Linked DNA regions of Astyanax mexicanus. The protein of the gene in region 3 interacts with the protein of the main gene of each other region in a biochemical or structural test. Links are inferred from orthologs where the notes say so. Each region holds a gene or a part of one and is shown on either strand. Other genes may lie near its edges. The genes, in order: ptprc, ptpn6 and lck.

The links.
Region 1: of the proteins of lck (region 3) and ptprc, one has a biochemical effect on the other in vitro, tested with the Homo sapiens proteins (5 studies listed by BioGRID and IntAct, with this or other methods). The link is inferred for Astyanax mexicanus from reciprocal best matches to the Homo sapiens genes LCK and PTPRC.
Region 2: of the proteins of lck (region 3) and ptpn6, one has a biochemical effect on the other in vitro, tested with the Homo sapiens proteins (4 studies listed by BioGRID and IntAct, with this or other methods). The link is inferred for Astyanax mexicanus from reciprocal best matches to the Homo sapiens genes LCK and PTPN6.

What each region holds. Positions count from the first base shown.
Region 1 is NC_064423.1:21,155,239-21,165,851, reverse strand, and holds the start of ptprc (receptor-type tyrosine-protein phosphatase C), read left to right. Parts: upstream 1-6,405; 5' UTR 6,406-6,559; intron 6,560-6,658; 5' UTR 6,659-6,697; coding exon 6,698-6,755; intron 6,756-10,613. UniProt on the Homo sapiens protein: Protein tyrosine-protein phosphatase required for T-cell activation through the antigen receptor. Acts as a positive regulator of T-cell coactivation upon binding to DPP4.
Region 2 is NC_064413.1:26,348,015-26,358,217, forward strand, and holds the start of ptpn6 (tyrosine-protein phosphatase non-receptor type 6), read right to left. Parts: upstream 3,855-10,203; 5' UTR 3,715-3,854; intron 3,580-3,714; exon of another isoform or gene 3,390-3,579; intron 1-3,389. Other genes in the region: chd4b (chromodomain-helicase-DNA-binding protein 4), read right to left, coding at 6,189-6,364, 7,942-8,137, 8,222-8,354, 9,568-9,676. UniProt on the Homo sapiens protein: Tyrosine phosphatase enzyme that plays important roles in controlling immune signaling pathways and fundamental physiological processes such as hematopoiesis.
Region 3 is NC_064421.1:41,911,322-41,921,485, forward strand, and holds the start of lck (tyrosine-protein kinase Lck), read right to left. Parts: upstream 4,686-10,164; 5' UTR 4,490-4,685; intron 1-4,489. UniProt on the Homo sapiens protein: Non-receptor tyrosine-protein kinase that plays an essential role in the selection and maturation of developing T-cells in the thymus and in the function of mature T-cells. Plays a key role in T-cell antigen receptor (TCR)-linked signal transduction pathways.

The DNA.
Region 1 (10,613 bases), on a different chromosome or scaffold from region 3:
TAACATCATGGTTTAGGGTACGGATACAAAAAGCTCAGATATTTCAGTTTCCACTGTGAGGAAATGGAAGACCACAGGCACAGTTCTAGTTAAGGCCTGAAGTGGTAGGCCAATAAAAATCTCAAATAATCAGAGGAGAAGGATGGTGAGAACAGTCATAGTTAACCCACAGACCAGCTCCAAAGACCTACAACATCATCTTGCTGCAGATGGAGTCACTGCACAAGAAAAGGCTGTATGGGAGAGTAATGCAGAAGAAGATTTATGGTATGCTAAAGCACATTTGGACAAGCCAGTTTCATTTTGGAATAAGGTGCTGTGGACAGATGAAACTAAAATTGAGTTATTTGGAGATCGGTATGAACGGCAAAAAATGAACACAGCATTCCAAGACAAACACTTGCTACTTTTGTGTATAATTTGGTGGTGGTTCCATCATACTGTTGGGTTGTGTGTTCAGTGCAGGTTCTGGGAATCTTGTTAAAGTTGAGGGTCGCATAGATTCCAGTCAATATCAGCAGATTCTTGAGCACAATGTTCAAGAATCAGTGAGAAAGTTGAAGTTGCACCGGGGCTGGATACTTCAACAAGACAACGACCCTAAACACTAAACACTGCTCAAAATCTACTAAAGCATTCATGCAGACTAACAAGTACAATGTTCTGGAATGATCATCTCAGTCCACAGACCTGAATATTAAGACCTGAAAATCTGTGGTGTGATTCAAAGTGGTCTGTTCATGCTCATAAACCATCAAACCTGACTGAACTGGAGATGTTTTGTAAAGAAGAATGATCCAAAATACCTTCAACCAGAAGCCAGACTCTCATTGGAAGCTATAGGAAGCATTTAGAGGCTGGTATTTCTGCAAAAGTAGGATCTTATAAATATTGATATAATTGTTCTGCTGGGGTGCCCAAACTTATGCACCTCCTAATTTAGTTTAAATAATTTTTGCACACTTTCTGTAAACCTTATAAACTTGATTTTACTTCTCAAATATCACTGAAATTGCTGATCCGAACAACCAATGATTTATAAAGCAAATTCATGGAAATTATCAGGGGTGCCCAAATGTTTAAACAGGCAGCCTAGTGCATCCCAAATGTTTCAACAATAACAGTTTAATATAACATTGTAGCCTTTATGGCTTTTATGTGTTTTGGGAAGTGGGGTAGTTTACTATAGGCCACTGTGGTGCAGGGGTATTGAGGGGTGACTGTCAGAGATCAGGAGTTCTGCTTAAGGAGGGTCCTCAAAGCTTGACCCCACCCATAACTAAGGTGAGTGGTAAAAAAGAGAAAGGGCTGTGTCTAAAGGGAAATAGAGGAGGAGTTTGAGTTCACTGAGGTGTGATCCATCTACCATAAAACCACTTTATGAAGATACATTACTTTTCCATTTAATGTTTTGACATAGCATTTTAGTGAAGGTTTTTTATATATATTTTTGATGGAAACACCTCAGATTTGCATAGTTATTATAATGGAGCATATGAAAGTAACAAAAAGGGTTTCAGTCTTACTTCTGACTATAAAGTCAAGAAGCTGTTGTTGTGAATTCTTGTGAATACGCCTCTCTCTGCTACTTCCTCAAACAGGCGGGAAACCAAAAGAAGGTGAAAAAAGAATGGGCAAGGAAGTGGTATCTTGCAGCATACTCTACGTTCAAAGGCCTAAAATGTGAGATATGTTTAGGGGGCTTGTGTGAAGAGCTTAAAGTGTTTAAAACCTGTATTTAACTAAACTAGAATGCAGATTTAGTTACATTTAGTTGTACATTCTTCACAGATTCGTTGATTAAAAGAAATGCCACTGTATTATTTGTAACACATTTAAAGTCATAGCAATATTCATTATTATCAATGCTGTCCAGTTGTCATCTTTGACATTGTTAAAGTAGTTTCATAGTAGTCTTTCTGCTCTCTTCCTGTGTTTGCTGTGTCTTCTCCTCACTTCTCCTACACTCTACACTTTTTCTTTCGTTTTTGGTAAGAATGGGTTGCTTCAGGTGTAAGAGAGGGATTATTTAGTGCAGCCACTGACTTTCTAATAGTCCATACAAGTTCATTTTTTTATTGCTATTTACTGTAAACCTGCCACATTTTGAGTTTCTCCTATAGCTTCTGTTAAATTTTTAATCTCCACTTCCCACACTTCTCCTGCTCATGATGTCACAGTCATACCACCTTCACCAGCGAGTCACAAACATTTTCTTGATCCTCATCACTTGAATACTAATCACTGTCACCTTTTAACAATTAAGCGTATATAAATACCCTTTTAATGAATTAACCACTTGTTAATTGTATCTCTGTTGCCACACTGAGAAACCTTCTGTGATATCTCGTAAATGATCTTTGTTTTTTCTGTTGGTTTATTTTCTTTGAATTGCCCCTTCGTCGGCTGGTTATTAACATCTTGCCCATTCTCCGGTTTTCACTTTGGTTTGCCACTGTCTGTTTTGGTTGCTGCTGTGTTTGTGCTCTTGTTAACACCATGCACAATACTACTAATATGATAATCAAGCCTGCAAACTAAATTGAGAGTGCTCGCTGAGACATAAATAAGGTCATGACATGCATTTTTTGGGCAGTTTGAAACCATACATTAATGATAATACTACCAATTTGTGACACTACTATCTGTGTTCCTCCAGAAATCAAAATGCATTAGAACAGGCTACATTTTGCCAGTGTTCAATTGTGCAGTATTGGTGACCCGGTGGACTGTAGCCTTCGCTTTCGGTTCTTGTTTGATCAAAGTGAAGACCTGAGAAAATGCTATTTTGCTAACCACAATGGTACAGAGTGGTTATCTATATTACCATAGAATTTTTTTGTCAGCTTCAACAATTCTGGCCAGTTTCACTTGACTTCTCTCATCAACAAGATGTTTCCGTCCACAGAACTGCTGCTCTTTGGATGTTTGTATTGTTACTCCATTCTGAGTAAACTGAGAGACAGTTTTAGAAACCAGTCCAGACAAGATCATCAGACACCAACAATCATGCTTAAAATGACTAAAGTCATATCTTTCCCATTTCTGATAATTGATCTTAAAACTACATAAAGCTGTTGGCCTGCATCAGCATAATTAAATGTATTTTACATGTGCCACATAATTGGCTGATTAATTAATGGCAATAATTGATATTTATACTATTACGTTTCTAATAAATTGCATGGTGTGTTATGTTGATTATTTTCTTTTGAGTTTATTATGTTTGTTATTATGTTATGTATCTCTTCATAATTCAGTGAATGCAGTAATCTGTATAGCAGTTTTACACACTAAGCAATCCTAATAGTGGAACAAACTTCCTTCCACTGCCAGAGCAAGGGTGTCCCACTCTACCTTTAAGGAATTCCTAAAGGCAGAGTTCTCTAAAGAACACCTACACTTTTAACACCACTAACAAACTAACGACTTCTAGCATTATTTCCTGCTCCCCCTCTTTTCTTCCTCTATCCCACTATTCCCCATAGGCCTTCTTTAGGTCCTGTTAAAAAATGTTTTTGCACTGAACGTGTATGTCCTCTATTGCTAAATGTACATCATTACTCGTAAGATGCTTTGGATAAAAGCATCCGCTAAATGCTATGTAACACAATGTACAATATTAATCCACTTTGATCCAGAAGTGGGAAGCAACATGATGCATTTACATGTTACATGTACGTAAAGCAGCAGTCCTTCAGATTTTGTACTTTAAATTAAGAGTAGTAAGTAGCAAGTAGTGTTCCTGAGCAGAGGGGGGGGGGGGGGGGGGGGAATTATTGTAATAAATAACATTAATGTGCTGCTGCAACTATTCCTGTAAAGCCAGATTTATTTACTTAATTAAAAAAACAGGGGGTCTGGTAGGTTCTGGATTCTTTTGGCAATGACAGAATTTGCTGATTACCTGAGCAAACATGGTGCATCTAATCCTGGCAAAAATTACCTAATTAATTGATTTTGAATAGACATTGCACTACAAAACATTTTTGCATGCTCATTGCAATTACATGTTAAAGTAACTTTTTGAACAGATTGTTCTTGTAAGAATTATTTTTAAATACAGTGCTTTGCACTTTTACTTAATACATTTGTGATATCAAAAATATGCTTTTACTCTGTTATTTTCATCATCAAGCTGTTTTAATCCAATGCGCATTTTGTTGTTTTTTTCATATAAAGCTTCCTTCACCAATGAAAAGGACGAGTTCGTTCACCAATTAAAAGCATCTTATGTGACTTACGTAAAGGCTACTACAGTATATATGGTAAAAATCTGGTATCAAGTCATTAACAGCGGTGGGCTTGACAGGTAGATTTTGGCATGGTGCAGGACTGTGATGGTAAAAATGGGCAAAATTTTTGAAGGAGGCAGGTACGCACCCCTGACCCCATGAGCTTGAGGCAATGTTTTTACTACAGAATACCAAAACCAGCAATTATATCATGTCTTCACTACCAGCCTAACAGCCTGGACTGTTGATATCTTTACCTTTTTAATTTATTATCTGCTGAGCATTTAATAAATATAGAGCATAAAACTTAGTCCTCATTTGGGTTTTAAATTGCTACTTTAGATTGGTTGTTTTTTACAGAAAGATTGAAGAGAGGAGAAGTGCTATAGGCATTTTTGATTTGGTGCTTGTATATGTGATACCTAAATAAGGCTGTGATAATTCAAGTTCTATTGATTGTTAAATAAGATTGAGGAAATAACTCACTACTTGAGTAGTGTTTTTACTGAAATTTCTTACCTTTATTCAAGTAAAAAATCTAATTTACTTTTAATTCTACTCTTTAATTCTAATTTCGAAATAACAGTACTTTTACTTGAGTTCTGTTTTTGGCTACTCAGCCCACCTCTGCTCGGATCAGCCTGCACTACTTTATCCTACAATGCAACACTGATTTCCACAGCTTCTACATTTGTTATACTTTATACTTTTTCTATCTGTCTTAGATTTATACTTGTAAATTACATGTCATACATGGGTGCATCACCAACATAAAAAATGCCCTTTTTTTACCCCCTTTGCAAGAGGCGTTACAATGCACATTGCTATGTTACACCTCATTAACAGTCTATTTTCAGGCCTTGCACCTATGTTGTTTTAATAGCAACGGTGCATGTGAATATATCTACGCCGATGGACATAGTGGTCTTGAAGTGAGCTGTGTTCAGGTAAATTGCTGGCGTATTAATAGCTATGCAATGGAAAACAGATGCACCACTGTCTAAAAGCAACCTAGGCAGACGTCATCTGTCAGACACTCATTACTATTTTGGCAGTGAATTATCAACACAGGCGCATCCCCAACATGTGTACACCCCTGCTTGTTACGCACACATGGACACACAGCAGTGCACAAACCCATAATGCGTGCCTGTTAGCAGCTATACAAACTTTTACCTCAATAATACACAGAAAGAACAAGCGTGAACGAGCAGATGGGTTCTGATAGGTTCATCCTTAAATGTGTTGATTATTATATTGAATGCACATGGATTTTAGAAACTGAAAAAATTGAAATTAATTAGCCATAACATCCTTGTTTCTACACTCGCAATCCATTTTATTTGCTCAACTTACAATGTGAAAGCACTTTCAATCTTTATAATTGCAGACTGTAGTCCTTCTGTTTCTCTGCATACGTTATTATCCTTCTTCAACCTTCTGGATCTGACAGTACCGCCACAGAGCAGGCTTTATTTAAGTGGTGGATCATTCTCAGCACTGTAATGACAGTAACATGACATCTGACATTTATTGCTGTACATTTTGTGTTGGTCATCCTCTAGTGCATCCTCATCAGTAGCCCCAGGATGCTGTTGGAAGGATCTTTTAGGTCGATGGTCTATTCTCAGTTCAGCAGTCAAACTGAAATATTTAAAAATTCAGCAGCACTGCTGTGTTTTATACATTATACACGTACCAGCACAACACACAGTAACATACCACCACCATCATATGAGAGTCACTCAGTGCTGAGAATGACCCAGATAAACCAGATAATACCTGCTCTGTGGTGGTCCTGCGGGATCCTGATCCTTAATGAACAGGGTGAAAGGTGGGTAAAAATTATGAACATACTAAAAGCTCCTATATGGTAAACAGAACTGATGAAATGAACAGTAAGTGCAGTCACAAGGAGGTGGTGTTAATGTTATGGGTAATTGACATATATTTACAGTTTTTTCAAACCTGAATTTGATCTCTGCAGTTAAAATCAAAGACGTTTCCACACACCTACAGGGGCAGTTGTACTGTACTGTAAGATAATGACCCTTATGAAAGCCAGTAGATGAAAGGCAATTTCTTAATGCAATGCTCTTAAACTCTGTGCTGCATTGTTTCTTAGTTTAAAAGGATGACACAGAAGTGCAAGGCGAGAGATTGTGGCGTAGCTGAAAATACAACTTCCTGTTAAGAGGCCCTCAGCGCATTGCTGAAGGTGTAAGCGGTCTTGTCAGTGCTCGGTCTTTCAAACTTACAGCAAGCTTGAGGACACTGGGGGGGTAAAACTTTACGGACTGTACCCTTTGGACAAACAAGAAAACGTAAGTTGAACGACCTTAAATAAAATCTACAGAACCTTCGGTTTAACACACCAAAAATTTAAAAAGTGAATACTTTTTAACACTTTATCTCTCTAATAGGACTTATGGTGTCTTAGAGGAGACGCTTATACCCCGGTAATGGCGACGTTTCCTGGACTAAGGCTCTTACTCTTGGTCCTGGCAGGATTGGCACTATGTAAGTACAAAATGTCTTTACTGGCGTCTTTAAATGAAGGTACGTTTCAGAGATTTCATCAGACTAGCGTGTGACAGGATGCTCTTTCTCCGGGTATTCTTGTGGTGGACTGATGGGTTAGATTATACAATTGCACTAAATGACCATGCTAACTTATTTATTACAAATATTAAATGTTCTTTTTAAAAACAAGATAATAAATGTGTTATTTATAATAAATAAATTGTTACACCTGTTTAATTAATTTAAGTAATTTAAGTAAGTCTGTTGTAGGAAGTAGAAAGTGAGAAGTGGAAATTGTACTTAATGTTTCTTAATTTTGAGATACTTGAGCTTGTTGTTGGTATTGAACTGTAAAGGTTTAAAATATACAGCAGTGGGGCAAACTTTTCCCTTTTTTAACAATGTTGCGTTTTTAACTGATTGTGTACTTTGGAAAATGAGAATATAGAATCGATGACGTGATGCGAACTTGGCCTTCAGCAGTCTTTCCTGATAAGTATGTCTTGCTTAGTGATGTATCTTACATAAAGGCCACCGAGCAAAAGAAAATAGACTTTGTATGTGCGTCTCTCTGTTACCAGGAGTATGATTTAATTAGTCTTTGTTGGTGGGAGCTTTGAACAGTTTGTAACTGTAACATAGGGTTGGTGTTTGGGTGTGTCTCCCTGTGGCTGTGATCTAGTTGAGGAGAATTAGACTGATGCTTCATAGCTGCGTGAATGGCTTCACTATCTGTCCCTCAGTTTCTTTCATTGAATTAAACTCTTATTTATTTTTCATGCTTTGATTAATGCCTTTTAAATCTCTATAATATAATGCTTCCTCTATACTTAACAATAATTAACAACAAGTTTACGCTTTTGATGTTGAATTAAACACTTGGTTATATAATTCTTTGGGAGCTGTGTTAATTATCAGTGTAGTTATATGGCTTCTTTAATTCAGTTGGGCTCTGAAATGTGGCCGCTCCACACCGGCTATTGACCACTTCCTTCTTCCAGTTTGAGCTGGTGTCTCTTCCTCACTAGTTTGAGCGCACTGGTGAAAATAGTGCTAGACTGTGTAAAAAAGTGCATGGTGAAATGAAGAAGTTCATTACTTTTTTTCTTACTTTTTCATTTTTGTGTCTTTACTTAGGGGTTAATAACAGAAGCCACTGTGATTCCTGTAACTGTACTAAACAGGCAGGACAGGGAGACTGAGAAATGGGCCTATATTAGGAAGTGTGAGTTTAATAATCATGTGCTCACATGCCAGGGCTATCAGAAAAAGACAACATAAAATCATATCTTAAAGGTTTATCAAGTCAATAGAGATGGCACAGCATTTGTACTTTTCTTTTTAAGAAAGAAGTTTTTTTTTTAAACCTTTGTGGACCATTGTTACTGCCTTTAATTTAGATTCCTGCTCTCTGGTTTTGTACTTTTGAGGACGAAAGCAGAACAGAAAGTGAATTAGTATATATTAATATATCTAGCTGACACTCTCTCTGATCGTGTAGGGGCACACACATTTTTTTATTAACCAATTACCAAAGAGATAAAAGGTAATACTACATAAAAAAGGTATATCTGTTAAAAGAGTCAGTTTAGAGTAATACATTGTAACAATAGCCTTTAAAACAAGAGTTCAAAGATATCTTTCATAATTATTATTTTTTAATCTTATTTTATCAAGGCTTAGTTGAAGTTGCTGATAGCGATATAGTGGTACACAAAAGTTCACACTACAGTTTGGAATTCACAGTTTGAGTTCAGGGGAAAAAGCAAAAAACAATACTTATGACTTAACAAGCTCCCATTTCATTTCATTTAAACAGGCAGTTAGTGTGTGATAAAATTGTGAATTTGCCCGTGTTTATCATATTAGCACCAGTGTTTCACTAGGATGATAATACAAATAACAGGCATTATGATATTTTCTTGTCCTGTGATACATATTGTGATATTAAGAAATACAGGATTTTTTTGTACCAGAAATCAATGAAGTTAAAAATCCAGCATGTCATTAACAATTTTTCCTTTTATACTGATAAAATTGTATCATGACAAGTTTGATCTAATTTGTTTACGATGTGACATTACATGTCCTGCGAAGTGACTATTGTGCACACATCATATTATGATGGTCTTTAAAACGGAGAAAAATGGTTTTGTAGCCCTTGTTTTGTTACATATATTCTGCAGTTGTGGCCCACCCCTACTTCAAAATTACGAAAGGTCCCAAAATGGCCATTATAAAACTTTGCACAGGTTTTGTATCTATTTAAATAATGAATTATTATTATTTTCTAAAGATCACATGTGAAAGCCATTCTTTTGGTGAACAAAACACATGCTAAGGCTAATTTACCTTAGCTAACGTTACTATCCTAGTTCTGTACAGCTTGTACCTTTTAGCTAGAGAGCAGCCATTTGTGAAGGTAGTAAACTGACACCAAGGGTGAAAAGTGATCTTGAAAGTTGAAAGCTTTTTTTTTTTTAGAGTTTAATAAAAATTGTCAGAAAATAAGTTCAGAAAACTGAAGGGGCCTTTTTTTCTGGACATTTATTAAGCTTATTCATGGATTACAGTTTAATGGTAAAGGTATAATGCCTTTATAAAGTTTTAGTCAGGGCTCGACCATAATGTGGGTCATAGAAATTGACTTTATATATTTGATAGAATAAACACAGACAAATATGCAAGTTTCACAGTTTAATTAACATAAACTTTTTACTCACTTTTATTTAGATTTCTGTTATCACTACAAGTGTTGTTTAGTTCATTTATTTAATAAAAAGTTAAAAAGACAGAATTGGACAGTATTGACCTTTCTGCACCTCTCTAATACTTAACCCCTATTACCGAGCTTTAAAGCACATTTCATTGATGTCCATGTACAATAAAATGTATATTAAATCAAGTTGCAAATAGCAAAATTGGCAAGGCATATTTTCTTGTTTATCTCCTTTAAACTTTTAGTGCTAGTTAAACAGGAAATTATGCAAAGTTTGCTAAGTGTTTAATTGGGTGATAAAATATTCCCAATAAATGTTAAATGTTTGATATTTTAACGTGATATATTCTCTTCTAAATCACAACTTTAATCACAGCTTTATCTGAGCAAAAGCCAAGCATGACTAATGTGTTTTTTTATGTTTAGGCAGCTTAAACTAGCTTTTGAAAGTCATTGGCCTTTGTGATTTTCATTTTAACCTTAACCTTGGCTAATACCCCTCGTAACCGTGATCTGTTTCTAAATTACATGATTATGCTCTGATCACAACTATATTTGTTGCATTTTGTGTTACTGTGGCCCAAAATTCAGTAAGTGATTGTGAATAATCAAGAACTTTTCTTTATTAAGTTATTAGGAACTAACCATGGCAAATATTTCACAGACAGGCAAACATTTTTTGGAGTATCATACTGTTACAAGTAAATACACCTCATGGTCAAAGGAAGTTAACTTCTTTGTAGAATACCTGCTAGTGATTACTCACAAGTTATCATGTTCCATTCAGTGGGTGGACCTTTAGCGATTGTGCTGGCAGAGTGTGTGCACTTCAAGTTGAGATCTGAGTTGAGCAAAACCACATCCGTAAAAAAAAGAGAAAGACGGAAAGTCTAGTTCTCTCTCTTTAGTTCTGTGGGGTAGCGTGATATACTGAAGTAGTTCTTCCAGTCTATACAGTCCTTTCTTAACATTTTTTTTGTGAATTCCTTCTATAACTGGAAATAATGGATTACTTGCTATTTTTATTAATAGTGTAGTTTTTAATGTCTTGTGTTTTTTAGCACACAGTGTTTCTTTCTGTATTTGCTATTCTATTCTAGTGACTGCTTCAGTTAAGGTCTAGATGATATATTTTT
Region 2 (10,203 bases), on a different chromosome or scaffold from region 3:
TCTAAAAACGTTTGGTTAAACGCTGAAATCTAAAAATGTTTGGTTAAACGCTGAAATCTAAAAACGCTTGTTTAAATGCTGAAATCGTAAAACTTTTGGTTAAACGTTTGATTGCTAATGTTTTGCTTGGCGGTTGCTATCATTTCTGAAGTGGTTGCTAAGCTGTTGCTAGGCAGTTGCTAATGTTTTCCAGGTGGTTGCTAAGCTGTTGCTAACTGGTTGCTGGGCAATTGCTAACATATACCAGGTGGTTGCTAGGTGGTTGCTAGGGTGTTGCTAGGTTGTTGCTAAGGTGTTGCTATGGTATCCGGGGTGGTTGCTAAGATGTTGCTAGGTGGTTGCTAATGTGTTGCTAGGTGGTTGCTAAGGTGTTGCTATGGTATCCAGGGTGGTTACTAATGTGTTGCTAGGTGGTTGCTAGGGTCTTGCTAGGTGGTTGCTAAGGTGTTGCTATGGTATCTGGGGTGGTTGCTAAGGTGTTGCTAGGTGGTTGCTAGGGTGTTGCTAGTTGGTTGCTAGGTGGTTGCTAAGGTGTTGCTATGCGGTTGCTAAGGTGTTGCTATGGTATCCGGGGTGGTTGCTAAGGTGTTGCTAGGTGGTTGCTAAGGTGTTGCTATGCGGTTGCTAAGGTGTTGCTATGGTATCCAGGGTGGTTGCTAAGGTGTTGCTAGGTGGTTGCTAGGGTGTTGCTATGGTATCCAGGGTGGTTGCTAAGGTGTTGCTAGGTGGTTGCTAAGGTGTTGCTAGGTGGTTGCTAAGGTGTTGCTATGGTATCTGGGGTGGTTGCTAAGGTGTTGCTAGGTGGTTGCTATGTGGTTGCTAAGGTGTTGCTATGCGGTTGCTAAGGTGTTTCTAAAGTGGTTGCTAAGTGGTTGCTAGGCAGTTGCTAACGTTTTCCATGTGGTTGCTAAGTGGTTGCTTAGTGGTTGCTAGGCAGTTTCTATAATTTCTAAAGTGGTTGCTAGGCAGTTGCTAACATATTCCACGTGGTTACTAAGTGGTTGCTAGGCAGTTGCTGTCATTTCTAAAGTGGTTGCTAAGCTGTTGCTAGGCAGTTGCTAACGTTTTCCAGTTGGTTGCTAAGGTGTTGCTAAGTGGTTGCTACGCACTTACTATCATTTCTAAATTGGTTGCTAAGTGGTTGCTAGGCAGTTGCTAACATATTCCACATGATTGCTAAGTGGTTGCTAGGCAGTTGCTAACGTTTTTCAGGTGGTTGCTAAGCTGTTGCTATTTGGTTGCTAGGCAGTTGCTATCATTTCTAGAGTGGTTGCTAAGTGGTTGCTATGCAGTTGATAACGTTTTCCAGGTGGTTGCTAAGGTGTAGCAAACTGGTAGCTAGGCAGTTGCTAACATATTCCAGGTGGTTGCTAAGTGGTTGCTAGGCAGTTGCTATAATTTCTAAAGTGGTTGCTAAGCAGTTGCTAATGTTTTCCTAGTGGTTGTTAAGGTGTTGCTAAGTGGTTGCTAGGCAGTTGCTATCGTTTTTAACGTGGTTGCTAAGTGGTTGCTAAGTGGTTGCTAGGCAGTTGCTTTCATTTCTAAAGTGGTTGCTAAGCTGTTGCTAGGCAGTTTCTAACTTTTCCTAGTGGTTGCTAAGGTATTGCTAACTGGTTGCTAGGCAGTTGCTAACGTTTTCCAGGTGGTTGCTAAGTTGTTGCTAAGCAGTTAATAGGTGGTTGCAAAGCCCTGGCTGGGGTGCCGGGGTGTCCAAACTTTTGACTGATAGCTGCTCCATACAGCAGCTCCTCCATACACTCACAGTACTGGAGGAGCAGGGGAGAGAAGGGGTTCCGTGCGCAGAGCTGCTCGTGTGCGAGATGGAACTCTGGGCCCCCCATTCATTCCTATGGGGAAACTTTGTACGATAATTGTACGAAAACCGTACGACGTATAATTTCGTGAAGCATATTGTCGGAAAGAACGCGATAAGTTGTATAAACCAGCCGTATTTCGTCTTTGTATCTCAAAAATTGTGACCTACATAGACTTTCAAATTTCCCCATACTATTTAAGTTAAAATAGAAATTTTAGTAGTGTCCCTGGGTTTTACTCAGTCCTGTTATCGTAACACATTACCCCATCTGAAACATTTGAGACATACTACAAGTCACATCTACATCAGGAAGTTCCATCAGTTGGTTCTTCTGGAGATCATGGGAAGACCAAAATTAAAGTTCCCTTATTTGTTTTTCTGTATATTTGATAGTGTAATTATGATTGAGGAGGTCAATCTCAACACTCTGTCCTGTTACCTAAGTTAATTCTTAGATATTATTTGTTTATTTTTAAAATAATGTAATTTCTAATTTTAGAATTTCTAATTCTAAGATAAAAACTCATTCCTGTTACTTATAACATAAAGAGTAACAGGCGTGACTGTCAGTAACAGGAGTGAGTTCCAGTAATAGGAATAAGTATTGTCCTCTGCTTTATTGCTTTATTGTTTAACCAGGGAACAATATTAGTGAATGTAAAACACTTTTTTTTTAATCAATTTCAGATTTGGGTCTTCTTGAAAAAATAAAAATAGCATTGCATCTTTTAGGAGAAATACAATGTACATTAATATAAAGTGATTTAAAAACAAAATTATCAATTATTTGAACATACTGTCAACAATTTCTTTAAAATAAAGACTTCTTTGAGAGAAAATCAAAAGAAATTAGTGAACTTGTTGTAACCGTCTTTGGTTTCGAAACTGAGATTAACAGTACGTGTAACAGTTATACATACAGTACATGTGTATGTGTTATTAGATTCAGATGTATATATATATATATATATATATATATATATATATATATATATATATACGTATATAAGTATATATATATATATATATATATATATATATATATATATATATATATATATATATATATATATATAATGTGGAATAATAACATTAATAATATATAATTTCCCCGTAAATAATAAAAACAAAAACATCTGCGCTGGCTGACAACCACGTTTCCATGGCATTGATTGACATGCTACACGCTTGTTTTCGTCATGTAAAAGCGACAGTAACTCTGCGCGTGAGTTAGTTTGCTACTAGTTAAGACACGACATAGGGGTCTGTGGTGTAACCGGATTTAGTAAAAGGATAGTTTAAAACTTAAATTAAAAAGAAAGTTACCCCTCCAACAGAGAACTTCCCGCTGCAGACACCGCTAGAAAGTTAGTTAGCCAGAGCCAGAGCTAGACTAGACCTGTTCAGAGCACACACAGCTACACACTGAAACAGAATTAACTAACGTTAATTCCCTCAGAATCAGAGAGACACAGAACACACACTGCAGAGTCACTGCGACACACAACAGCAGTCTTACTACATATACTCACTAAACAGAAAGAAACAACAACAACAGCAGCAGCAGACTCACCACCACCGAGCTTTCTTCATCAGCGGGTCAACACACACACACACACACACACACCTGCACAGCGAGGAGCTTCATATACTACATTTACATAGTGCACTACGATCACTATAACCTATAGCGCTCAGAAGAGCTCCTCTCTCCCTCTCTGTATGTAAACGGTGGTTGTGATAAGAGATCAGAGCAGCATGATTACACTTCTCCACCCTGTAATTTTCCCAAATTGCCGTGTTTTGCCTGAGAGCCAAAAAAAGCCTCCAAATCTTCTTCCTAGTCAGCAAACACACACGCACGCGCGCTCGCTCTCAACCACACACCTCTGTCTCACCTGGAGGAGTGAGGAGTGTACCTGGTGTGTGTGTTTGGAGCAGCTGTCAGTGGAACTCTGTGGAGGTAGATCATTCTGTAACACGGTGAGCTAATATTTCTCCTCACTGACCGCTTCTCTCCCTCCAGTCTCCAGCCTGAGTCATCCGGGTCACTCCAACCCACACTGTGCTCCACACACAGGACCTGTCCAGACTCGCCCAGGTGAAAACCTAATTCTACAGATATGCTGAAAAACCAAACCCTTCAAATACCAAAACATATTCACAGACATACACCAGTTAATCACCCCCTCTACACTCTACAAAATAATTTAATAAGATAATTAATCGCTTTATTAAACAGAGGGAAGATTTATTAAATTAAGGAAACAACATATTATATTAACAGAATGATTTATTAAACTGAGTTTAGCTTTATTAAATTAAAGAGACAACATATTATATTAACATAATGATTTATTAAACTAAAATCCACTTTTTCTTTGTGAAATACAATAGGTCTCTCCGAGTTGTATATGCATGCTGCACATAAAACTCTTCTTTAAACTCCATTGTCTGCTAGTAAAAGAAAATGTTCAGAAAATAATATTCAGTCTATTAGAAAAAGCACTGTGTCTACGTCAACCTGTGACTTAGGTTATTATTCATGGCCTCACCCGCCTTGACTCGCGACCGCCCACAGGAAGAGCTGAAGCCAAGCAGGGATGCCATTTTGTCAGACAGAAGCTAACAGCATCAGGAACAACATGGTAGTTCCTGTGTTATTTGTAAAAATAACACATCAGTGTTATATGATTTGCCCAGTAATTCAGAGCTAAGGAACGAATGGTCTATGAAACACCATCAGCGAAGTACAATTAAGATAGGTAGGTATATGTTTTAAACAGTTCTGTTTACACAACAATCCGCCTCAAGGTTTTGTTCCAACTGCCTGGGCTCTGCTGTGGCTCAGCCAACAAAACCCCAGGGTGGATTTTTACTTTCTGGACCTGGACTACCCAACTCTTTGTGTAAGTAACTAAGTTTACATAGGATCTCCGGTGGATTTCGTGTTTTATAGAGACTATAAGACTAGGTCAGTGACTGAACTGCACTTAGCAGGGCATTACCCGTGTTGTAAAGTAACATATGACATTGTAAAGGCAGTTAATATTGTACAAATGTGTTATTAAAAACATTTCCAACTGGACCCTCCACCAGACTAAAGCAGCATACCGGATCACACACACAAAAAAAGTTCTAATATATTTCTGAAGAACAGAACCCACTTTTTCCAAATATTATTAAATATACTTTTGTGCTCATTCTCTCCTCACTTCAACTTACTCTTAATCTTAATTTATGTCTAATGTGCTGAATAACAAATTGTAGAATACAACACACAACTATCTTGTGCTTTGCAGCTCCTTCCCCTTAAGAACACAATAGACAAATATTCATTAAAAAGCACTCATAATATCCAGACAAACCTTTTTGTTAATTATTTTAATTGTATGTAGGTCAAAATCCAGAAAGAATATATGTATAAACAATACCAGGGCAACAACAATACTTACAAAGTGAGCTAATCAAACGTTTTGAATGTGGAAAATCAGCCTTGTTTTAAACGTCATCCTGTCATCATCCCAGTTGTGTTTTCTGATTGTGGGCTGGAGAAGGGACTGTGGCTTATGATGTTGACAGTCTGTGACACCATCTGGGGACCACTCAGGAATGATGTGAGGTGGGTTGGACGGAGGATTGCGAACAGGAAAGAGTTTTTTTTAAACATGGTTTGCTAAGGAAATCTCTGTTTAGAGATGTCTGAGCTCATATAAACCGTTATAGTGTGAGGGTGTTTGAGTGTATTCTAATGCACTGAAAAAAACTATGTAGTTATTTGATTCAAATGTGTACATACATTTCACATTAATAAAATATCTTACATCAAGACAGAACAGTGGCGATGTGATATATTTTATTTTTGTGGAACTTCTGTATACATTTGAGTGGCATTTTTTTTCAGCAAACAATCCCACAAGCTATGTGACCTGAAAATCTCAATGCACAGGCCTCAAGATGCCAATACGCACTGTATTTTACAGGTCAGTTGTATTAGTGTAAAGACAGGAATGAGAAGTCAGAGTTGCCTGAGGTTATTATGATAACGACACAATGTGAGACAAGGAATCCTCGCAAAGCTCTAAGTCTGATCACTGGCCGCAGAGATGCTTGGGAGGGTAGTGAGAGGAAGGTCACTCTGAGCTGTTTTAGTGCTATTCAGGTTGGGGAGCTTGTAAGGAGAAGTGTTATGGAGGGACACAGTTATGTTACAGTGGAAAATTCTTTCTCTCTTTTCATTCTAACAGCAGGGAGGACTCTCTGTACAGTACTCTGGGTAACCTGATCCAGCACAAGAGGGAACGACTGGGTGAAGCTATTCCGGATCAGGGCAGAGCCTAAGGGATGTAAGGGTCAAAAGGTCATCTGGGGCTCAGCGGGGTGCCTGCGTCTGTGTAACCTCTGGCCCACGGCTGGCCAGACGGCTAAGGATGCTCCGCTCTGACATCTGCAGGCGCACAGCGACCGGTGGTATCCGGGCGATGGTGGCTGGGAGGCGGGTGACGTCAGCCTTCATGTCACTGAGCAGCTCCTCCAGTTGCTTAAGAACTAAGAAAAATGAAGAGAGAGTTCAATTTATGACAAAATAAAAGTATCTAAGCATCCCTGATAGATCTCTAATGAGCATCTTCAGAGACTGTGTATCTCTGTGTCTATTTAAAACGTTAAGGGCGTTTTCACACATTAAAAGACCAGACCAAAGTCCGTTTTGTTACACTGTATACATGTATACACTGCAGTTTAAAGAGCACAGGAAATAACTTATGTCCTGTCCTCATCAACCAATGTGGGCTGCACCTCTCTATAAACAAGCACTGATTGATTCGTAGAATGTTGCCAGTTTGACGAGTTGCCTTTCCAGATGTTATGCTGAATTCTGCCTGCCAAAATTCGACCTCTCTTTTAATGCATGTTTCTGTTTATAATTAAGCAATAATACAAGGGAGGGACTGCTGGCACTGCTGTGCAGCCGTCGCAGACCTGTAGATGTGCCAGCAGTGCCAATATTACATGTTAATCGCACCATCCCAAAGTTCCATCATTGCTGTTTATTAAAATATTTTGAGTTAAAGAGGATGAGAGAAAATACAATCTGTTTGGTTATAAACACGCGCTGCACTGTTGCTAGGTTAGCGTGGTGGCCTCTATTTTCGGCCATTTCAGTCAAAATTGTGGAAATCTAAGCTTATTGTAAATAAATATAAAAGCTTTACTCGCCTAAATAAATGTTTTTTTAGAAGAGAAATCTGTGTAGATTTAAGTCCAGTGCTCGTTTGACTTAAGAATTAAAGTTTTGTTTACTTCGACGCCCCCCAGCGGCGAGACCTGCGGAATTACATGGGGACCCCTATTTTTCGCTACCTTAAATTTCACTTAAAATACCCTATATTAACTAATATGATATCAACTCCTATCCTGATATTGATGGCTGATAATGTTTGTTAAAATACATATATTTTTTTGAATTGCTAAGTTTGTTTATTTGTGTGAACCGTGTCTTTGCCTGCACCGCCTATTGGAGAGATGGCGTTTATGCACTGTGCCTGAAGGATACACTGCAAAAAAATCCATTGGCAAAAACTAGATAAAATCTATTTAAATGGAGACATAAATGCTTAAATTAAATCTGCCAATGATGTAAGCAATTTTTTTTATAATGTTTTCTTAAAATAAGCAATGACAAAGCCTCAAAATGAGTGAAGTAAGACTTAAATCAAGCAAAATAAATATTTTCTAGCTTAAATGTCTACACTTGTATCAGAATAACTTGACTGGTGAATTTTAGTGTTAATTTTGAGTTAAAAATACTTAAAATAAGGTGAAAATTCTAAGTAAGACTGTATAAGATAATTATTTCTAAAACATGTAAAACAATCTTTTTTTTCTATTTACAATGCTTAGTAAGACTAAAAATCTCAGCCAATCACATTGCAGAGTCTGAACTAACTTTGGCATAATAAGGCTTAATGTACAGTTACGTTAGTTACAAGAGTCTTAAGCGTAAAAAATCTAGTTATTTAAGTTATTTAATGGAATTTGTTTAAGTACCTGCATCGCTGTGTGAAAAGCTGCAATTGGTGTGCCATGTGTTTCTAGTCTAGCACACAGGCACAATATTGATGTACCTTTGTGCAGTACAGCGTTAGCAGGTTTATTTCCAGACATGGACTCCTTGCTGAGGTGCTGGTGGGACTCAGCCAGACACTCCACCTCACTGAAGCGAGTGTTGAGGGCCATAGAAGGGTGGGATGGGTCTTCCGTCATGTTAAGATATGCCGCTCTACGCAGCTGCTCTTCTATCACCAGCGCCTGCTCCAACAGCTGGGGGAAAACAAAATCTCTGTAGTACCAGCAGCGTACATGAATGTGTTCAAGTGAGTGAGTGAGACAGTGAGTGTTATGTACCTTAAACCTGCGAGCGAGAAACTTGTTTTTGATCTCAAGGAAGTTTCCACGGCTCATCTCTCCTTTGAAGGGCTGGTTGAGGATGGCATAGCGCGGGTCATTCTGAACATCCTGCCACCGAGCATAGCCATGTCTAAGAGCACGCAGAGTCAAAGATCATAACAGCAGTGGCATATACTGCAGTGAGAGTACTGAGACAGAGCAGAAGAGCACAGGCAAGAGTGTCAGAGCTGTGAATAACACAGTCCCCACCCCAGCCACACTGATCTTTATCTAAGGCCTCTCTCTGTCGTTAAGAAGATAAATATATATTCTGATTCAAATGAAACTGGTCCCACCAACTTGAAATGAGAATGTAACTGGCTGACTGCTCCGTTAGTTTCTATTTACCACTGTGCACGAAATAAATAGCATTGTCTGTATCACTTAAATTTTTTATTTAATACCATTAGTAGACTGGACAGTTTGTCATTCTTGGGTGACATACAGGTTAGTTACGTGATTAACAGTATTATTAAATAAGCCATAAATTGTGCTGGTCAAAACATTAGTATTAGCAGGGCCTGCCTCAGGTTTACAAAAAAACTACTGTTCACTTCTTCACTTCCTGTGTGCTTCTATCTACGTAATTATAATAAACTAAAATTAGGCCAGTTCCAGTAAATCATTAGTTCCCACTAGCAGACTTCACAAATATTCCTCACATTTATTTTGTCAATAAATATAGTTTGTATTTAATTAAATGTTTTTGCTTCCTAAATATGCAATATATAAGTTCTTGTGTGCTTTTGGTACTTTTTTGGCATATTAATTCATATATTTTCCTATCAAAGTGCAAAAGATACTCCTGAAGGATTTATAACCTACTCCAGTCACTTAAATTACTAATGGTATAAGAGCAATGTAATCACTGCACTACTAAAACTACTGAAGCTATCTTTGGTCTTTGCACACTGTGGCTCCTGTGAACTTTGTGGCTTCTTTTGCAAACTGCCACATCCATGCTTTGTGCACTGCACTGCAGTGTGCTTGGAGCTCAAACTCACCATTAGTTCAAAATCACACAGAACCAGCACAACCAGAATTCAAACAATGAAATGAAATTAATCTTGTCTTCTCAAAATAAATCTTGAAATAACCTTCCTATTTTTGTTTCCACAATCAAGACAATATGTAATGCCACCATTAAACGTGATGTCCTGTGTTGCTCCATACTGCCAAAAATAGAATGATTAAAAACTTTTGTTCTCTCACTGTGGGAAAAAGGAATTAGGTAACCTCTAACCACGACCTAAATCTAAACCTTGGTGTGAAACTCTCAAACTGACGTGTTGGAGAAAGGATACTGTATGATGCCAGCCAGAAGCCAGTAGTCATGGCGACGGTGCCAGATCTCATAGGTCTTCTTGGTGACTGTGGCGGCTCTCTCCTCGTTCTGCCAGAGGGAGTGTAGTTCTGCACACAAGAAGCATTATTAACTGAGGGGGTGGAATCATTTCAATTCATTACAAAAAAAGCAAACAATGACTTGCTTCAAATTTCACATAAACAATCTGTGTCTATTAAAAGGGCACAACCAAAAGAGTTGGTTGCTCTAGAACAGCCTAAAACCATGACTAATGTCAGTTATGAAAGGGTGGTAGGGGGACCCCCAGCACTAAAATGAGAGCAGTGGAAGACTAAAGTGTTTTGGACGATTTCAACTTCTATGTCGACTCAAAGCAAAGTCTATGTTGTAGGCAGACTGTTTAGTAGATTCTGAGTTGACTCAGTGTAGAAGTTGTGAGCTTTTATATTTGTATTTATGAACTCTCAAAACTTTATGAATATGAACTTGTTTTATTTGCATTATTTGAGGTCTGAAAGCTCTACTATCATTTTTGTTATTTCAGCCATTTCTCAATTTCTGCAAATAAATGCTCTAAATGACTATTTTTATTTGGAATTTGGGAGAAATGTTGTCCTAGTTTATAGCAAAAAAA
Region 3 (10,164 bases):
TTGTACTTAAAAGGGTACAAAGCTTGTCGCTGGGGCTGTACCTTATATTGAGGTACAAAAAAGTACCTTTCAGTGAAAGTCCTTTTTTTGTACCCATGGTTTTGTGCCAGTAAAGATTATAAATATTTTTAACATTATGATCAACTGAATATGGCTCAAAAACTTGATGATCCAAAATTGTCTGGCTTTCAAATGAAAAATGTGCAATTAAAATATATCTTGTTTATTAGTACAGTGATACAGAATACTGAATGTACCTTTTGGCTGCAGGTTAAATGGTACAAATTTGTACTTATTGCTGTTAGAAACGACTTTGTACTTCAGAGGGAACAAATCTGACCCTGTAAAGACCAATATTGTACCTTTGAGGGTACAATTATGAAGAGTGTACCTTTGAGTACAAAAAAGTACTCGTATCGTACCTCTGTTTATTAGAGTGTACCAGTGTAGTTACAGTATGTGTTACAAGCTGTCGCTACATCTCTAAAATGGACAATTGAGAAAAAAACAGGAGAAGAAAAAAGTATTCTTAGCTTTTAATAGTGTAAATTTTGTATATGAATAAATTTTGAGCAATTTGTGTTCATTTATTAAAAATGTGAACATAGTGTAAACAAAGCTGTAATGTTCCAGATTTACGTTATGTATAATTATGTATAAAGACAAAAATAGACTATTGCATTTGCGTTACAGTAGCATTCTGTATCATCAGGATTAAATCTGTACTTTTGACAAAGGTCTATTAGTTTTTATGTCAGTAAATGGCTAACCATGGAAATTGTAGATTTATCTTTTCCACAAAAATAAGACTATAGACACAACAATTTCTTTCATCAGATGAAAATTATCATCACTGCCACACACTGCCAAAATCTAGTAGCATTATAGGAGAAGAAAATACCTTATAATGCAATAAGAGTTCTGTTCAGTCATTTTGCATTATTTTTATTGGTCCATTTAGACACAGTGTAAAAAATAGCTGCCAGAATTATGATTCAGTTAAAAATGTAAAATGAAATTGGAGATAGTTATGATATAAGTAAGTATTCTGTTTCATTAGGGTTAAATCCCCATTTGCGCCAATTCTGTTTGTTTTGACGTCAATAAATATACTGGATAAACAATTCTGCAAAACAAAACTACACACATACGAATATATACTATACAAAATATACAATATATAAAAATCCTCAAATCTTTAAAATGGCAACTTACATGATAAGAAAAAAATCACCCTAACTTTCAATGAAAGTCAATATAAAATGATTTTTATTATAATTCAATTTCTATTGGTCCATTTATCATATCATCATATCTATGTTAATGTTCTTTATCATCAGGTTTGAAACTGCATTTTTGTCAATATTCTTTTTTTTATGTTAATAAATGATAAAACAGGAAAAAAGATAGGATGGCTTTTGCATTCTGCAAAAAAACAAGGCTAAATATTAATAATAATTAATAATAATATTAATAATAACTAAATATAAATTAAATTTCAGTTACAGTGTTAAGAAAAACGGCCCGATTCAGAGAGTTAAAAACAGCAAAAATGGAGTGAGAGGTGATCTATGTTTGTGTTCTGTATCGTCTGGGTTGAATCTGCACTTTTGACAATATTCTGTTTGTTTTCATGTCAATAAAAGACTAACCGGTAAAAAATATAAGGGATTTGTTTTCCTTTTCGCTTAAAAAAAAAAACAAGACTATACACACAACCATATATTTCCACTGGGTCAATATTATCTTCACAGACTTTACACTAAAATCCTTTAATCTTCAAAACAGCAACTTGCAGGATAATAATAAAGAACACCCTAAATTACAATGGAAGTCATTCTTAAAGTTTTGATGTTTATGTTTGTTTTAATGTTAATAAATGAAAACTGTGGCAAAATATGAGGGATGTATTTTCTGTTCCGCTTAAAAACTATACTATAGACTATACACACAACAATAGCATTTAATCAGATGAAAAATCATCATCGCTGCCACAAAGACATCATTTTATCTTCAAAATGTTAAAAATCTTAAACTCTTTCAGATCATGAAATTATAATACGTAAACAACAGGCACATTCAGATTATGTCAACATTTAAAAAACGACAACAATTTATTTATTTGTTGTTGGTTTTTTTTATCGCTTTTTGCAACAAAATCTCTACTTTCCAAACAATTTTGCACTAAATTATCTAAAATAAAAAGGCAAAATCATAGTTAGTTAGTTACTAGTTAGAGTTACGCCACAATCTTTAATACCACCAACCCTAATGGAAATAAAGAAGTTTTTAAAGAATATCTTCAGTCTATCTTTCGACTTCCTTTTATTCCTGTTGTGTATTTTTTTTACCGGGCTCGTTAGTTTCCGCATTGAGTTACAGGCATTAACCCTGAAGGCCTAAAGCAGCTAAGAGTAAATCCCCTGGCCAGTCTCTCACAACACAAACAAGGCCGGGTCCTGCTCACGTCAGGAATGTTACAGGCGGCACGGTGGCACGGCCTAAAGGTGTCAAACTGGAAGCCGAATTCCTTGGCAGCTAAAGGCCTTCCCTGTTCCCTGACCCAGTTCACCTCTAACACCACAGCCCTGCTGCCAGCTCCTGTCCTCTGCTCACAGAGCTGCACTGTTTCCCGTGTGTGACGCTAGTGAATGATAATTATTCATCACTTAATATTAATTAATAAGATTAGTGATCTTACAGCAGCACATCTGCTCAACCAAGCATCTGAAATACACTCAAATACACACCACACCCTTCTCCTTTAACTACTGAAGGTGAGGTCAGGTGAGGACACTCAAATAACACTTATAACATCTGAAGAATCTCCTTCTACATCTTATTCTGTCTATTTTTTTTTGCCTCTTTATAAATTATAAAAATGATGCTAACACTTTACAATAGGGCTACATTCATTTACATTACTCACGACTAGAATGTCTCAAACTAATCATTAATTAATTGACACGAGTTAATATATTATTAATCATTACATCATTTTTTTAAACTAATATGTCAATTTATTATTATTTACAAAATTCTTAATCATTGTAATTTAGTAATGGTCAATAATTTCTTAACTAGTGTCAATTAATAATTAGTTGAGACATTACGTAACAATTTAACAACGTTGATTACTGTTAAAAGTACTTTCATTTGTGACCCTTATTGTAAAGTGTTCCCAAAATTATGTATATGAGCCAACGTAAATGGAATATATAGAATATATAGAATATATATAGGAGTATATGTATAGTCGCTGTCCTATGAAAAACATGTATTTTCAAAATAGCAGCTTTTTCAGTGGGAGTCAATGCAAAAAGAGTTTATTTCAGGTACATTTTTTGGAGAATTTTAATTGGTCCATTCATTATTAAATTTTAACGCAGTGTCTGTTTAAATCATGTAGTAAACTAAAAAAATTCATGAATATTTATAATGTATTATAAATATATATGTATGTATATATTATATATATATGTATTATATATGTATTAAAATGTATTATCTATATATATATATATATTTATAATGTATAATGTTTGTGCCTCTGTAACAGGAAAGTATAGAAATGATATCACTTATACTGTATGTACCATAGCAATACAGGAATATGTATAATTTGCATAATATATGTTATAGGTAAGCAAATATATCATAGCAGTGTATCCCATATGTATAATATAGATAATAAACATAACAACAGTCTATGCCATATGTATCATTCAAATATATGTATACTATATTTAATAACAGTAAATCCCACAGTATATCTCATTTGTATTTCATAAATATGTATGGGCCTGTACACCATTATGCCCCATTTACATTATATGTCAATATATATGAAACAATATACAATGTAATACATATGTGTTAAAACAGCTTTTTCAAAAAATATAAATAGCTTCAAATCTTCAATACGACTTATTATCCTTCAGGTAAATGAGTATGTTTTAGTGGTTGTTTAGAATTTAACTTGTTTCCCAAGATAGATTAAAACAACACTTTAAGTTATTAGTTATTTTTAATTATTTTTTTTTTATTTTGTTTTGATCAAACCTGTCACAGACCTGTCACAGAAATCAAAACTATTTTTTTTTACGTTGATTAGCTTAATTTATATTTTGTAATCTATTTTTTTTCTAATTGTAATGCGATTACATACTAAATACATTTTCCACATTGTGACCAAAATAAATAGATATAAACATTGCTTTTAAAAATTGCTTTTTGGATTTGAGAAATCGTGGCCAAGGTCGACCCAACCCAAGCGCCACCTCGTTCTTCCTTAGTTCAACATTTTCACTCAAGTCTTAAGTCCAAAGATTTATCTGTGGGATTTTTTTCAGCATTTTCTAAACAGATTGAGTTTCTAAATATTTCTAAATATTTGTGATGTATAATTTAATGAACACTCTGTGATTTACTTCAGCAGTTCCCCGCAGTTCAGAAGCCCTCAGAAGGTCTGCGCTAATTCAGGACATACCTGTTATAGTATCACTGCTGGTGGTCTCAGGTGGTCCTCAGATTTCATGGATGGGTGGGACTGGTCCTCATCCTTATATCCACGGTTTTACAGGATCCGAAACGCTTCTAGAGAAGCTTCTAGACCTGTGAAGGAAAGGTGCGCAGATAAGACTGGTGCAGCGCTGCTTCAGCTTCACACACATGTGGTGCGTCGAAAACTGTGAGCGACATCACATCCTCTACATCCTCCACTTTACCATCAGCACATCACACACTTAGACACACACACACACACACACACACGTTTGTTTAGGCACCTTGTCAGGACGTGGGGACAAACATACTGTATCATATTATTAAATATGTATCAAAAGTAGCAACTACAGTTGCACAAAAAAAAAGTATGTGAACCCTTTGGGATTATACTTGGAGTTCTGCTTAAATTTGTCATTAAATGTGTTCTGATCTTCATCTAAGTCACAACAATAGACACAAACAGTCTGTTTAAACTAATACCACATAAAAATTCTATGACTGCATGGTTTTTATTGAACACAACATGTTAACATTCACAGTGAGGGGGGAAAAAGTATGTGAACCCCTAAGCTAATGACTTTTCTAAGAGCTAACGGGAGTCAGGACTCAGCCAACCTGGAGTCCAATCAATGTGATGAGATTGGATGTTGGTGTTGGTTAAAGCTGCCCTGCCCTATAAAAAAACACACACCAGTTTTGAGTTTGCTGTTCTTAAGAAGCATTGCTTGATGTGAATCATGCCTCACACGAAAGAGCTCTCAGAAGACGTATGTTCAAGAATTGTTGACTTGTATGAAGATGGAAAGGGTTACAAAAAAAAGTATCAGTATCTCTAAAAGCCTTGATGTTCATGAGACCAGGGTAAGACAGACGTCTACAAATGGAGAAAGTTCAGCACTGTTCAGCTACTCTCCCTAGGCGTGGTAAAGTCCTGTAAAGATGACTGCAAGAGCACAGCGCAGAATGATCAATGAGGTGAGGAAGAATCCTCTCAGCTAGAGTGTCAGCTGAAGACTTACAGAAATCTCTGGCACATGCTAACATTTTTGTGGACAAATCTACAATAAGGAAAACATTAAACAACGGAGGAAGCCACTGCTGTACAAGAAAAAAAACATTGCTGCACTTTTGAAGTTTGCAAAAGAGCACCTGGATGTTCCAAAGCAGTACTGGCAAAATATACTGTGGACACATGAAAACAAAATTGAGTTGTTTAGAAAGAACACACAATGCTATGTGTGGAGAAAAAAAAAACAATCAAAACCTCATTCTAACTGTGAAACACGGTGGAGGGGGCATCATGGTTTGGGGTTGCTTTGCTTTACTGTCTCATGGCCTGGATTTGACGGATTGACGTCATCAACAGAAAAATTAATTCCCAAGTTTGACAAGACATTTTGCAGGAAACTTAAGACCATCTGTCTGTCCGTCAACTGAAGCTCAACAGAGGATAGATAGATGGTGCGGAAAATACACCTTTTGGAGTGGCAAAGTCAGAGTCCTGACCTCAACCCAATTGAGATGCTGTGGCATGAGCTCAAGAAAGCGATTCACAGTTAGAAGTTATCCAAAAGCAGTGTGTAAGACTGGTGGAGGAGAACATGCCATAATGCATGAAAACTGTCATTAAAACCCAAATATTCAACAAATATTGATTTCTGAACTGTTTTTTTTTTTTTTTGCATTATTTGTGGTCTGAAAGCTCTGTATCTTTTTGGTTATTTCAGACATTTCTCATTTTTTTGCAAATAAATGCTCTAAATAACAATATTTTTATTTGGAATGTGGGAGAAATGTTGTCTGTAGTTTATAGAACAAAGCAACAAAGTTCATTTTACTCAAATATATACCTATAAATAGCAAAATCAGAGAAACTGATTCAGAAACTAAATTGTTCTCTTATTTTTTTTCCAAAGCTCTTTATGTTAAAGCAAGAAAATAAGGGCATGGTAGTCCAGACAAAGTTTAAAAACCTGTGCGCACAGTTTCAGCAGAGTTGTGGAAGATCAGCAGGTTAAAGAGCTTCCTGTCGTTGTGCTGGCAGTGCGCACTTTATCACAGGTGGCGTCGAGCTCGTGCAGCTGTGCTCAGAGAGACGTTACAGACCGTCACCTACCGGGCGAGGATTCCACCCGACTCTGCGGGACCTGCGGCCTACAGCTCGCTCTGCAGCAGCAGCAGCAGCCTGGAGCAGCCTGAACCCTCCCCAACCAGCTCCAACTGCAGGTCTGCACAACCACAGGGACACCGTACACACTTTATATAGCACTGAGTGGAAACCTGCGGGTTCTCCACCTGAGCTAGAACCCCACACATCCACTGCCCCACTTCTGATACTGCTCCACACAGTCCTGCTTTTTTACTGCACACCAGTGAGTTTCCTACAGAAAAGCATCTGGAATCTCTCTCTCTCTCTATTTTTTCTCTCTCTCTCTTTCTTTCTCTCTCTCTTTGTCTTTTTGTTTGTTACACAAATGCACTCTCTCTACACTCTCTATTATATGTGTTCTATTTTTGTAAAATGAGACAATACTTATTCATCTCTCTCTCTCTCTTTCGCTCTTGGTCACATTTAAAGTAAGAGACAAAGAGAAACAGCAGAGAGAGAGAGAGAGAAAGCGAGACATGGAAATGGTATTATCTCATTCTACAAGTGACAAAACGTCATCACATAACCTCTCTGTCTCTCTGTTTCTTTCTGTTTGGGCCCTTTCATACACCGTGATGCTCATTGCTATCTTACACCCTGTCGGCAGTCTATTTTTACGCCTTGCACCCGTGCTGTTAAATAGGGTCTGAGTTTAGGAATATATCTACACTGATGGACATGGTGGTCTGGAACATTTCTGAAGTTCAGGTAAATTTCTGGCGTTTTTCTATCTTGGAATTAGAACAAACAGATACGCCACTGACCAATTTAAACCCTGACAGCAGGGTTCCAACAGTCAACAGTCACGATCAGCGTGTGTACACTCCCATTCTTTACGCATCACACATCAACAATACAGAACAGAATTAAGTAATAATAGACAATACGACCGCAGCACAGCAGTGCCAATATTTCTGTTATTGTGATTATACCACAGTTCCATTATCACTGTTTATTAAAAGATTAATTAAGTTAAAGAGGATGAGAAAATTCAATGTGTTTGGTAATAAATAGTTAAATAAATAGTTTAAACAGTTACAATGCTGCTCTGTTTGTAGCTGAGCTGTAAGCGCTGCTTTGTTGCTAGGTTAGCATGGTGGCCTATATTTTTAGCCATTTCAGTCAAAATTGTGGAAATCTAAGCTTACTGTAAATAAATGTAAGAGCTTTACTCACCCAAATAACCGGTTTTCAGAAGAGAAGTCAGGGACTCAGAAAAAACAAAATGCTTAATAGAAGAGCTAGCAAATTAGATTAAATACAGGTGAAGGGAACAAAGGAAATTGAGGGTATATATACAAGGGATTCCAGGTGTGAGCAATCAAAAGCTTGGCGAACGTGATCAGGGATATCTGGTGATTGAGCATGCTGGGAAATGGAGTCTTTGTTGTGAGGCTCTAGTGTCCTAAGCAAATGACAACCAAGGACAAATTTAGTAGTTTATTTTAAGTCCATGTTGGATTAATCCCTGTAATATTGTTGATAAGCTGAATACATATCAGCTGTTTTTAGGATGTTTTAGGGCAGTTTTCATTGCATTTTGGTGTATTTTAAACACGCTTTACACTATGTGCACGCCAATGTAACAATCTGGCAACCCTGGTGGCTCATTGTTGGCTCCAGTTTCTTCAGCTGATGGTTGTTTAGTAGTGAGACTTCCACAATATATTCTGGCCAACACTGAGCAAATGTAGTGAGCTACAGTGTTCACTATAAGTTATGATGCATTGTGGGAGTTTATAGTGCCTTAAAATCACGTTCTAATTCCACTTTATGATGCGGACACTCAGAAAAAAATAGCCAAAATACTCAACAGTTCTCTAAAACATAAACAGGGAAGCATTTAGATTACAGACTCGTTCTTTCTTATGCACCACCTCTAACCTAATATCTTTCTATATTACTTTCTGTCTTTCTCTCTTTTTCTTTCTCTCTCGACCGCACTCTTTTTGTTGCGGTGGCAGGCGACAGATAATGCATGCACTTGCAGGAAGTCAGCCAAGACACATGCAGGAAGTCAGCTACGTGTTTGAACAGGAAGACGCATAGGTCTCAACTCTAAACTCTCAACTCTCTCTCTCTTTTTCTCTCTCTCTCTCTCCGGGCGGTCGACATCAGAGCCTCAGGTTGAGGAGCGTTTCCTGAGCAGAGTTCTCTCACTGGCCTGATTATTACAGCTCAAGACCTTCTCATTTCTCGTATTGTGGTTCTGAGGCTTTAGGTACTTTGATTGCAAATATGCCCAAATATGTCCAACCAAGTCGAGTTCCACTTCTGTCAGCTTTGAAAACTGCAGACTCAGCTTTCTGGTCTTGGCTGACAGAAGTGGAACTCAACACGGACTTTTGTTGTGTTTAGTTTTGTAGTAAATTAGAATTTGGCATTGTATGAAATTACATCACACTCCATCACTTTTGCTCATGAATATTCATACATGCAAACATATCGTCTCTGATTGGTTAACTGCAGCAGAGAACGCTACCTGCCTTTACTCTCCCCGTGGCCGAGAAATATTATCAATGCCGCGGTGTGAGTAGAGACGCAACACCCCCCCATGCCCCCACCCACGACCGAGCCCCCACATTCTTCCTGCAACTAAGTCGAAGCCCCAGAGGCCGCTTTATATCATAACATGACGCAAACGACGCCCACTTTGATCAGTGTTTTGTCGAGTTGTGCTGCCTTGTCAAAACGTGCTTCCCTAGTGTATATTTAAGGTCTCTGTAAAACGCAGAATCAACCGGAGATCCAATTTGATTCGATGTTGCTTACACTCATGAGTTAACATAGTCACGGTACTTTTCCTGATGAACACTTTTTCTTTTCCTAGCTACTGCAGACCACGGAGTTTGAGGGAACAGTTTCATGTGCAGCATCATATACAACTCAGAGAGATCTATTGTATTTCATAAAGAACAAAAAAAGTGGACTTTAGCAGGAGGAGATTTTTAAATATCTTCCAAATAGCATTGCAATCCAACATTTCTTTCCACTTCCTTTGGACATAGAATAAATTTAGTGATTTTTCATTATTTAAACTGTGCATTGTAAATCAATATATAAGTCATTCAAACTATGAAGACAAACATAAGAAATTATTTAGTAAACAAAAAAGTGTTAAACAAACCTGAATATGTTTTATATTTTAGATTCTTCTAAGTAGCACCTCTTGCTTAGATGACAGTTTTGCACATCTTCGCTGCATTTTCTCAGTCAGCTTTATGAGGTCAGCTTTATGAGTCATCTGGAATTCAGGCTTTCAGTTAACAGCTGTGCTGAACTTGTCAAGAGTTAAATTACTTGACTTTTTAGTCTCTTAATGTGTTTGAGAGCATCAGTTGAAAAGTTGTGAAGAGGTAGAGTTGATATACAGTAAATAGCTCTATTTGAGTAATGTTCTAATCCACAAATCTATCATAATGACAAGGAGTTTTTAACTAAGTAAAGAACAAAATACTTTAAGAAATGAAGGTCAGTCAATACAAAACTTTTTAGTAACTTTAAAAGTA